3 linked regions of the Oryctolagus cuniculus genome follow. The protein of the gene in region 1 interacts with the protein of each later gene in a pairwise test. Links are inferred from orthologs where the notes say so. Each region holds a gene or a part of one and is shown on either strand. Other genes may lie near its edges. The genes, in order: UBA3, IMPA2 and CPNE2.

Region 1 (4,253 bases):
AAAATACTTCTCCATTTCAGTGGTTCTTAAGCTTACGACTTCAGAATCATCCAGGGCTGGATTAGATTCACAACAAATTCCCAAGTAATGTTGATCAGGCCTTGTGTTTTGAGAACCACTTTGCTTAATTCTCAGTCTTAAAAGGCCAAAAACAGAAACAACCAAAAAAAAAAAAAAAAAAAAAACCAACCAAACAAAAAAAAACCAAAAAAACAAAAAACAAAAGGCCAAGCATTTTTTAAAATGACTGCTTTAAAAGAAAGTGCCCAAGGTCCTATAGTTAATTACTGAGAAGTAACAACTTAAATTTAGTTCTTTCTGACTTCAAATCCACTGGTGTCCTTCTCCAAAGAAGGATATGTCCGTGTGTTTGAATATATTTCTCTACCCCAGCATTCAGATTCACCTATACATGTATACACACTTCTGACACTGGAAGAAAGCAGTTAGAATGTTGTCACACGTATCTTTAGGTGATGGGATTATGAGTGTTCTAAGTCAGTTTTTAATTTTTCCTGCTTTCTAAGTATTTTTCTTCTATCTAAATACATATATTTATCTGATGTCCTCAAAGTTTTCCAGTATAGTTCCATTTTTGCTGAATTTATCTGACAGAATGAAGTGACACTAAAATACTGATTTTTTTCAAAAAGTAAAAAAATAACAAAATTCTATCCTACTCCTGTGAACAGATTTAGATAAATCTGTTCTTTTTTGAGAGGCAGAGAGAGAGAACTTCCATCTGTTGGTTCTTTCCCCAGATGGCTGCAACAGTTGAAGCTATGCTGATAAGAAGCCAGGAGCCAGGAGCTTCTTCTGGGTCTCCCACGTGGGTGCAGGGGCCCAAGCACTTGTGCCATCTTCTACTGCTTTCCCAGGCCACAGCAGAGAGTGGGATCAAAAGTGGGGCAGCCGGGACTCAAACCGGGGACCATATGGGATGCCGGCACTGCAGGCGGTGGCTTTACCTGCTACCCCACAGCTTCGGCCCCTTTAAATCTGTTCTTAAAGTGTGGACCTACACAGGCAAAGATTTTTGGGACGGTTCTTTGCTCCGGAGGCAAGCTCTAGCATACTGGAGTTAGCCTTCCAGGCATTTTTTCATTGAATATACCAACATTATATGTAATTCTTTATCAGCATATACATTGTATAAAAACAGAATGCTTTGCGTCCACATTTCACCCTGCGTGACATTACACAGGGCATAAGAGTTATCTAATGAGGGGTAGCTAATTAAGATCCTAATTGCAGCGGGACGCTTGCTTTCAAGCCCAGGGGCGCTAAGGCGCAGCCGACCCCTCCCCATCGTTGCAAGCCCCGCCCTCCCACAAGTCCCGCCCCTTCCCGCCGACTCCGCCCGCCGAGAGGGCACCTGGGAAGAGGCGGAGAACAATATGGCGGATGGCGAGGAGCCGTAAGTACCGGGGCTCTGCCGGCGCGCCGGGCTGGGCTGGGTTGTGAGAGAGCGCGGCGGAGGGCGGTCGCCGCCCCCACCCGGGGTCCCCTCCACTCCCCACCCCGTCCCCTCGCCCCCCATCCTCTCGCGGCGCCCAATGTGTAGCGTGATGCTGACCCTTCTTTTATTCTCTCTTTCTTTTAGGGAGAAGAAAAGAAGGAGAATAGAGGAGCTGCTGGCTGAGAAGTTAGTGCTGCCGGGAGGCCGGGGCCCTCTCCGGGGACCCCCGCCTCCCCTTACCCCAGGCCTAGGGGACCAGCCGCAGCGGGCCCATGGGGCTGGGAGGGGGGCACCCGGAGCTCAGGCCGCGCGGCCTCTTCCCCTGACCCCGGTCCCGCAGCAGCCCCGGGGGCCCCCGAGGGCCACTCCAGATTTGTGCCCCGGCGGGCGTCGGGGCCGGGGTGCACCTGCAGGGCCTTCAGGGGCCGCCGGGGCGTCTGACTTAAAGGTTTTGCGGAAGGACCGTTGTGCCCCCCTCTTCCTCCATCCCAAATTGTCATATCCTTGAGCTTGTGAAAAGGGAATCCAACTTACACACACACCTAACGGACACGGGGCCGTTTTGTTTTTGCCTTTCGTAAACACTGAGACAATAGTGCACACTGTGTGTGAAAACTGTGTTTCAGGTACTGTACTAAGCACGTCAACCATTTCTGCGAAATAATTGACTCTTAAAGGAGGGTGTTGACACCAACAGCTTATTTTTTCCCCACTTACCATACACCCCGTGTCTTACCAGATGATTAGTTTTGTGCTGGTGGGACAGATTTACACAGTGTTTTCGGACTGAGCCAGCGCCACATAATTTCTCTCCTCCCTACATGGGAGTGGAAAATACTCTCGCAGTGGGTGTGGTGAGTTTGTAATTTCTCTGCCAATTCCTGGTGCTTTGGTCATCCTGAGGTCTCTTCCCCCAGAACTTGAATTTCAACTGCTTAGAGTACTGGAATGACAGACTTTCCTCACCTTTGATTTCCCTTCCACTTTTGCACAAAGTGCACGACATGCCCCATCCTTTATTAAGTCCTCTGTGTTAATATCGCTTTATCCTCCTGGCCCTAAGAAGTTGCTCCCAATAGCCTGCAGTTGAGGTTTATGGCTATTCAGTAATCTGCTCAAGGTCATGGTGCTATTAGTTGTGGAGCCAAACCCGACTGCGCATCAAGACCTATGGTCTTTATTACTATGCAATACTTCTGGGTGTTACCAACATACTTGAAAGTAGAAAATTAAAAAATAACCACAACCAGATATGAATCTTGGCACTGATAAGACAGTTTGTACACTTTGGTAGAGAAGTCCCACTTTATGCAGTTGTATATCCTGAAAGGTTTCTAGGTGTGATGACAAGCTGAGTTTTTTTTTTTTTTTTTTTTTTTTTTTTTTTTTTTAACTGTAGTGGCAACAGAAACCACCTCACAGGACTCAGTAATTTTTGAAAATTTGGACTCCTGTTTCTGAGAAAACCATGTCAAAGCTTCTGTCATCAGAAATGATCTTTGAATCACACCTTTCAATAGAAAATAAAGAACACATGGGTGGTGGTAGATTTGAAGCCTCAGTTCTTAGAGTGTCCCTTTTGTTGTTTTCCCATGCATATGACATTGCCAGATCAGCTGACTTGAAAGAACATACTGGGGAAGGCTGCTGTGGTCTTGTGTAAATACCACATGTAGACAAGTCCATTTCTTACCCATAGACCAACATCCCAAGTTTGACCTTGGATTACTTGAGGAACAGGTAGACTGATTTTATTTTGTCAGGTGGATGAAATAAAAAGAAAAAAAAAATAGAAGCAATCACAGGCAGTTCTTAAGTGAACCGTATAATAGACAAGTGATAGGAGAGCATAGACATGACCACATTGATCATTCCCTTTCTGTTTGAGCAGGTCTTTTCATTTGGGGAAACCATAATAACTGTAGGTGTGGCTTTTTTCCGGACTGATCTTTGCAGCTGAATTTACTGTGTTCTGTGCAGAATGGCTGTTGATGGTGGGTGTGGGGACACTGGAGACTGGGAAGGTCGCTGGAACCATGTAAAGAAGTTCCTCGAGCGATCTGGACCCTTCACACACCCTGATTTCGAACCGAGCACTGAAGTGAGAAACGTTTATTTTTAAATAACTGCTCTAATAGTTTTATGTTTCAAACATAGTAAAATGCTTCCTTTTTTAATTTGCTCTTATGAAAACTAATTTTCTTATAAAACGTAGTATTTTGAAATACTCAATTGTATATTTACAATTTACTTGAGTGAATAATATTTGAGTAATTTTCACATTTCTCACGTAATATAAGTTGAAAGAGTTCAAGAGGAAAATAACTTCATAACTTTTAAAAATTCTGTTATACTTAAAACTCCAGTTCAAAATGATTTGAGACAAATTCCTCTTCAGTAGCCCTACTATAAGATAAAAGTATAGATATGCTTATTTAAATTTTGGAATTTAGTTGGATTATCTTAGAATTGAATATATTTAGTTGCATGTCAAAAATTATATGAGTGCTAACAGTGGCATAGAATTTTTGACTGATAATGTCTGACTTAAAGAAAATGTTCAATTAGATACCTGTTTTTCATTAGGTATAGGAAAGTAAGAAAAGTATTTTTACAGTAAGTACTTGTGTCCTTTTGTAGCTTTTTTTTTTTTAAGAGATACTGTTTTGAAAGAGAAATATTGTAGTACTCTTAATGTTAAGACTTCTGAGTTTGGCACAGTGTCTTACCTGAGTAACTTTTCTCCTTTAATGTTATATAGAACTGACAGTATTAATTCTGCTTTTTTTAGCTG
Region 2 (3,645 bases), about 11 Mb from region 1:
TTGCACATTGCTCTATAGAAAAACTGTTCACAGCTAGGGCAAAACAACTTGAAGCAGTGAGCCTGTGAAAAAATAGCGACTGGGAGCTGTGGGTGTGGCACTGAGCCCCGGGATGTGGGCGGGGCATGGCGGGTCCAGTGAGCGCCCCAGCTGACAGCGCTCTGCTCCAGGAGGGGACGGTGGTGAGCTGAGCCCAGTGCCTTCTTTGCAGATCATCAGGAAGGCGCTCACGGAGGAAAAGCGCGTCTCCACGAAGACCTCAGCTGCGGATCTCGTGACAGAAACAGACCACCTCGTGGAAGATTTAATCATTTCCGAGTTGCGGGAGAGGTTTCCTTCGCACAGGTAGGCGTACGCCTCGGGGTGCATAACCCCGTGGCACCCACCTCGCTCAGGAAGCAGCCAGGACCTCACCCAGAGGCCCTGCCACTTGTCGGTGAGGGGCAGGCCCCTGGGAAGCAGACAGACTCGGGTTCCGTTCTGTGTCCTGTTTTCTCAACGACAGTGACGTCAGTGTCGCACCTGACAGATGTTGAAAGCTCCCTCTTGGTACAACCCATTCTCAGGGGGAGCTCCCTGCTCCTCGGTCCCCAGCTCTTCTGTGCAGCGATGCAGTAGAGGCTGCGCCTGCCCGATGTCCCCATTGGCTGGGCCACTTGCTGCCCAGGCAGGCTTCCAGGATGGGACACAGCCAGTGGTCACTGATGCACACCCCCCTCATTCAGGCCAACACGTGTGGGGGACATGGGGAGAGTTCCCCAGAAGGCCTCACAGAGACCACTTTCACACCGGAAGCTCTCAGCCTTTCCAGGGTTACGTATGGAGAACCTGATGCAAACAGTTAAAAAGCATCAATTAAAACATTGATGTGGTATTTTGCCTATGATTCCAGGGAAGCCACAGACCCCAAATTATGATTTATTCTTCAGCGCAGGGTCTCTGAGGCACTGGGATGTGAAGAGTCTCTTTTCTTCCTTGTATAGGATCTCTTAAAGGTGTTGGAGTCCCAGAACTGCTGTCTTAGCTGTCAGACTCCTGGGCACAGGTTACAGGAGCTGTCAGGTCTGTGTTTATGTAAGCCTAGGTGACAGTGATACATATGACACCCACCCTGCACCTGTTGAGTGTACACGAGGCTCAGTACAGGGTGCTCGTGAGTGCTTGTGGGGACAAGGAACAGGCAGGTGTGGAAACACCCCTCCCCCCTCCCCTGCCCAGTTGGGTGCTCTCAGGGTTAGCAGCACTCCTGGGAGGCTCTGCCTGAGGCTCGTGCCTGTTCTGCTTGATTGACAACCTCTGTGTGTGAGCTTCTCTGACATCCCTATTTCTTATTCTGCCTGAAGTCAGGGTCCCTGTTAAAACAGATGCTTGTCATCTTCTTGGCTTTTTTTTTTTTTTTTAAGATTAATTTACTTATTTGAAAGGCAGAGTTACAGAGAGGCAGAGACAGGGAGGGGGGGTAGATCTTCTATCTGTTGGTTTGCTCCTCAAGTGGCTGCAATGGCAGGAGCTGGGCCGATCTGAAGCCAGGAACCTGGAGCTTCTTCTAGGTCTCACATGTGAGTGCAGCGGCCCAAGGACTTGGACCGTCCTCCACTATTTTCCCAGGTCATAGCAGAGAGCTGGATCAGAAGTGGAACAGCCGGGACCCAAACCAGCACCCATATGGGATGCCGGCACTGCAGGCAGCGGCTTTACCCACTACGCCACAAGTGTCACAAGACTTGTACCCTATGGACTGCTTTTACTCTTTAAGAGGAAAAAACGCTACAGGAATCGAATTAGTCAGCCTTTTGTTACTTGAACTAAAATACCTCTGAGGAGCTTCTTAGGGAGGGGGAAGCTTTATTTCCACTGGGAGTTTTTGAAGTTTTGCAGGCCACCATGGGGCAGCCTTGTTAGTCTGCATCTGATGTGAACAGGTGCAGGGGAAGGGTGCCTGGAGGGAGAGCCAGGAAGCAAAGGGCTCCCCTTCCATGTTGAGTGCCTCTGACTAAACCATCACAACCCAGTCTGGGGCTCCCCACATGCAACCGAATCCAATCTAGTCACTTCCCAAAGGCCCCACCTTCAGGCACCAGCCTCAGACCAAGCCCCGACCCTGATCCGTCAGCCGCTAGCACTACGCCATCAGACTTTGGGGTTTAAACATCTGCAGAGTTTGGGGTGCCCAATCCTGTTCAGTACATAACAGCGACCAGTCAGCCATTTCTGGGTGCTTTATCAACTGTGCTGGAGCAGCCGGGACACACTCCGGCACCCACATGGGATGCTGGCATCACAGGTGGCAGCTTTACCCACTACCCCACATTACAGGCCACCCCCATAAAACAATATCAATGACATCACGGCCGTCCCCAAGTTCGCAGCAGCTGCCTTAACCTGCCGTGATGATGGCACAAAGTAATCCAGCACCATGAGGCTGGGATGCAGGTTGGGTCATCAGAGCATGCTGTTGACACCGACCACACGAGCTCAGCTCAGTGCAGGCCCCAGCTCTGTTGGATCCCCGAACTGTTTTCAGTTGGTGATTTGGAGTCAGATGCAAGCGTAGGTGCTTTGAAAGTCTCGTGGCATCGTGGCTCTGTGGTGATATAAACCACGCCACAACGCCTGCTCCTAAGATCGTCCAACCAGGTCCGAGATTGTCTGGGCTAGCTGAGACACGAAGAAGGCGGCAGCCTGAGCTGCTTGGCCTGTCCAGCCGCCTATGCTGCCCTGGTCAGAGCCCGCAGAGGGACCCAGTGTCCTGCGGTGTGCCCAGCACAGAGCAGTGTCTGTTCATCTGTGCGTCAAACAGAACATAACACAGAGCCTTGACATGGAACAGGCATGCTCGCACCACCCCCAGCTGGACACCTGATCATAGTCTTCCCCAGCCTGGGGCCAGTAGCCTGCAGAGCGGCCGGTGGGGACAGAGCAGTAGCTTGTGAAGATAGCCTGAGTAACATCAGCTGTCCTTCATGGACCAAAGGGACAACCCAAACCTTCCGTCATAGAGTAAACAGATGAAGTAGCCACGGGCAAAGTCTCCAGGCACTTGGCTGTCAAAATTATAAGGAAGCTTTGTTGCAACTACCAAGAGAAAACGGAAGTAGTTAAATTAGGCCGCAAAATGTAGCATTCTCCCTAGTCACACACTTCACCCTGAACCCAGCTGCTGTTTTCTTATCTGCTTCCATGATTTTCTTTTTTTGCAACTTACATGTAGATTTTTATGTAGCTGTTCCACAGCTTTTATGAAAGATTATTTCACACTTGAGTCTGTGCAGGATACGGTTTGTGGCGTGGACTCTCCCTCCCCCTCTGCCAAGAGCCTTGGAATGTTCTCTCCTGTTCTGTAGGTGTTAGCTTCCTACATGAAGGAAGTCAGGTTTAAGTAAATAAAAGTCCTGCCTCCCTCCCCACATCCCAGGGAAGTCTTTAGGTGCCTCAAAAAGCTGAATATGTGGCTCAGCAAGTTAACGCCCTGGCCTGAGGCGCTGGCATCCCATATGGGCACTGGTTCTAGTCCCGGCTACTCCACTTCCAATCCAGCTCTCTGCTGTGACCTGGGAAAGCAGTAGAAGATGGCCCAAGTCCTTGGGCCCCTGCACCCACGTGGGAGACTAGGAAGAAGCTCCTGGCTCCTGGCTTCAGATCAGT
Region 3 (3,645 bases), on another chromosome or scaffold:
AACAGCCTTGTTGGCTCCCACCCTGGCGACAGCGGCCCCGAGTGCGGAGTGTATCAGGACAGGTTCAACAGTCAAAGCCGCACAGAGAGGAAAAGCAGAACACACCTAAGAGGCACCCTCCCTGCAGCCTCTGCCCCCTGTGGTCCCACCACCCGCCAGGCCATCAGGTCCTGTCCCCAGGCTGCCTCTGCCCTTCCCCCCTGCTCTGTGTCCCATGGACAAGTCACCCGGTCCACTGCCTCTGACTTCCCAGGGGTTAGCAGCGGGGCACCAGCAAGACATAAGAGAGCAGGAGCGGGGTGAGGAGGGCGGCCATCATTTGTGGGACGCTTTATTCTTGCTCCTGTCCCCAGATCTCCCACCCCTGGCCACGGCCCTCACCTGGCCGGCCCTGCCCCCTCCTCTGCGGGGCCCAGGCTGGTGCTGCTACCTGTGCTGGTTCCCTCTCCCCTTGCCCGTTCCTGGCCTCGTCTTCCTCAAGCCCTCTCCCCACCTCTTCCACCTTGTACCCGCGGCCTGGCCTTGGCTTTTCTGGCCCTGTCTCAGGAACGGCTCGGGGCCTCGGGGACGGCTCAGGGCCTCGCAGCCTCCACCGGGACCTCCTGCGGCACTTTCCAGTGTAGGCTGCGCAGGGCAGTCGTCACTGTCCCCAGGCAAAATCCGGAGAAACTGAGGCCTCGGCCGAGGTGGGGGCTTGCCAAGGACACAGCTGTAGGAATGATGGCGATTTGGGCCAGGAGCTCCTAGCCCCGCCCCTCCCAGCCTCCAGAAGCTCATCCAGGACTGAGCTGGAAGGGGCAGTGTGGCCCCGAGAGAAAGGAAGTTGCTCAGGGTCACACAGCTGGCCCCCAGAGCAGGACGCTCCTGGCCCAGGAGAGCAAGACCGAGCTCTGGCCATGCGGGGCCCCATTCCTGTGTGGCAGCGATCGGGGGGCCCTGTGGTTGGCTGTTCCCACAGATGGGCGTTCATTAGCCTGGCACGCAGCCCACCAACCTACTTTCCCCTTCCCCTCTCTAGTGTCTGCTGGCCCCCAGCAAACGGGGCCAGGGAAGGCAGGTGGAGAGGGCCATACCCGGGGGCCGCTCTGTCCTTGGCGTCTGGGTGCCACCTGGGGGAACTGCCCGCCTCCTGCCCGCCACGAGGGGCCCGGCTCACCGTGCCCAGGCTGCAGGAGAACTGGCCCAGGAAGTCGTGCTCATCAAGCTGCATGCTGGACTTGTCCTGGTCGAACAGGGCGAACTTGAGCTTCTGCACCTCCTCGAAGTGGTAGTCAAGGACGAACTTCTTGGAGAAGGCGGGGCTGAGGTTGTTGATGGCCGTTTCTGTCCTGTCATACTGGCAGAGGGCAGGGGGATGGGACGCAGCCAGGGTGGCTGGTGTCACCCCCTGGGGCTGCCGGGAGTCATTCCAACTCATTGAACACAGACTCTGTGCCTGGCACGCACAGATCCTATCCGTGCAGCTGAAGCCATTGCCCCCTGTAGCTCACAGATGAGGACACCGATGCACAGAGAGGGTGAGGCACTCACCCGAGACTGAACAGCTAGGTGGGCAGAGCTGAGATTCAAACTCAGATCTGACTCCACAGTTCTGGCTCCACACCCAGCGCCAGGGTAAGAGCTGGGGCCCGGCCCTGCCTGGCTAAGTGACAGAGCGGGAACCCCTATCCCAGGTCTGCACTGTAGCACAGGGGGTTAAACCTGCTTGTGATGCCGGCATCCCACGTCAGAGCGCCCCTTCCAGTCCAGCTCCCTGCTAACACACCTGGGAAAGCAGTGGAAGATGGCCCAAGTACTTGGGTCCCTGCTACACATGTGGGAGACCCGGATGGAGTTCCTGGCTCCTGGCTTTGGCCTGGCTCAGTCCTGGCCTCAGTCTGGCTCAGCCCTAGCTGTTGTGGGCATTTGGGGAGTAAACCAGTGGATGGAAGATTTCTCTCTGTCACACTGTATTTCAAATAAATTTTAAAAAAATTCCATTTCCTCCATCCAGGCCTCATTTCTACTTCTGAAAAGGGCAGAGACCTATCTGGTTTTCATACTTTTTATTTTGGGAAAACCTTCTTTTTCTCAACCACGTTTCAGACAGCAGCTGAAAGAGGAAACAGGAAGGAGAGGAGGAGGGGTCATGAGTGCCCCCACCCCCAGGGCCCAGGTATTTGTGTCTTCAATAGATTCCTGGATTGTGCAGCCCAACCCCCGCCCTCCCCTCCCCCCCAGCGCCTGGGTGAGGACAGCGCCCCCCCACTCACCACTCCCCCCAACCCCCGCGACAGGGGCCCCGCCCCCTGCCCCTCCAGGCTGAGGCTGGAGTCTGGGTGACTCTATTTCCGGGCCCAGGCTGTGTTGATTTTTCCCTCCCACCCACTTCGCTTCCAGGGCTTGAGCAGCAGGAGTGGAAGAGGTCGTGGCCCTGGGCTATTTTTAGCCAGGGTGGCCAGCCTGGGTGGGAGCCGGGCTGGCCGGCCAGGAGGGTGTGCGGGTGCCTCGAGTGCGGGGTGCCCCTCCTTGAGGAGCAGGTGGGGGCTCCAAAGGCCTGGCAGAGAGGACCAGCGCCTCGGCCACGCTCCCCCAGGAGTCAGCCTGCCTGTCTCCAGCTGTCCCACCAGCGCTTGGCGACAGAAGTCCCTCCTCACTGGGCCCCGACTTCCTCTCTGTAACGGGTCAACAATCCCAGCCCCATTTCCTTGGCATCACAAGCAGGCGCCAGCGTCCATGGAAACTTTGCAAGCCGCAGTACTTTCGGCTGGATGCTCAGTGCGGCCCAGTCAGGTACTGAGAAACAGATCTGGGCACACACACACGCGTGCAGACCAGCTGGGGGCCGCGGCCGCTCTGCTAACAGAGTTTTCCCTGGTGTGTGTGTGTTGGGGTGGGGGGGTGGGCTTGCAGCCACTGTGGTTTTCTTCTCGACTCTTCTTTCTCTGGACTTTCCCAATTTACTACAAAGAATAGAGTTTCCTCTAGGAACAGGAAACAGAAAGCTTTCAAAGGCGCCTCAAGCCACACTCACCCCAGCCCTTAGGCCGGCATCTTCCAGCTCAGAAGTCCTGGCGGGGGCACCAATACACCCAGCGCAGGGCCCCTCTGAGGTAGGCGGGGGAAGGAGATCCCCAGGCGGAGGCAGGTTCAGAAAGGGAGAGTCACTTGCCCCAGGCCACCCAGCAGGGCCTTGGGCCAGCTCCACCATCCAGACCTGAGCTCCTCACCCCGTTGGCTCCCCACTACATTCATTTAGAAATCAGGGGGCATGGGCGTTGGCCCAGTGGTTAAGGTATCACTTGGGGAGTATGCACCCCGTATCAGAATGCCTGGGTTCAAGTCCCACAAGTATGCCCATTCCAGCTTCCGGCCAATACACAGCCTGCGAGGCAGTGGGTGACGGCTCAAGTACTTGGGTTCCTGCCATCCATGGGGGAGACCTGGATTGAGTTCCTGCCTCCTGGTCTCGCAACTGGCCCAGCCCCTGCCACTACGGGCATTTAAGAAGTGAACCAGTGGATTGCAGCTTTCTCTGTCTTTTTCTTTCTCTTTCTTATCTCTTAAATAGAAAACCACATTTTTTAAAAATAGAAATAATATGAGAAGGTTATTTAAAAGCAGAAGTGATCATTTTGTAAAATTATTAAGTTTCAGCTATCAGAA

The links.
Region 2: the proteins of UBA3 (region 1) and IMPA2 interact in binary tests that used the Homo sapiens proteins (3 or more experiments, as listed by UniProt). The two-hybrid records come from large-scale screens. The link is inferred for Oryctolagus cuniculus from reciprocal best matches to the Homo sapiens genes UBA3 and IMPA2.
Region 3: the proteins of UBA3 (region 1) and CPNE2 interact in binary tests that used the Homo sapiens proteins (3 or more experiments, as listed by UniProt). The two-hybrid records come from large-scale screens. The link is inferred for Oryctolagus cuniculus from reciprocal best matches to the Homo sapiens genes UBA3 and CPNE2.

The regions. Positions count from the first base shown.
Region 1 is NC_091441.1:80,257,203-80,261,455, forward strand, and holds the start of UBA3 (NEDD8-activating enzyme E1 catalytic subunit), read left to right. Parts: upstream 1-1,311; 5' UTR 1,312-1,397; coding exon 1,398-1,417; intron 1,418-1,603; coding exon 1,604-1,645; exon of another isoform or gene 1,646-2,085; intron 2,086-3,439; coding exon 3,440-3,560; intron 3,561-4,253. UniProt on the Homo sapiens protein: Catalytic subunit of the dimeric UBA3-NAE1 E1 enzyme. E1 activates NEDD8 by first adenylating its C-terminal glycine residue with ATP, thereafter linking this residue to the side chain of the catalytic cysteine, yielding a NEDD8-UBA3 thioester and free AMP.
Region 2 is NC_091441.1:69,072,743-69,076,387, forward strand, and holds part of IMPA2 (inositol monophosphatase 2), read left to right. Parts: intron 1-211; coding exon 212-345; intron 346-3,645. UniProt on the Homo sapiens protein: Phosphatase that can use myo-inositol monophosphates, myo-inositol 1,4-diphosphate, scyllo-inositol-1,4-diphosphate, glucose-1-phosphate, beta-glycerophosphate and 2'-AMP as substrates in vitro.
Region 3 is NC_091449.1:40,737,779-40,741,423, reverse strand, and holds part of CPNE2 (copine-2), read right to left. Parts: intron 1,337-3,645; coding exon 1,157-1,336; intron 1-1,156.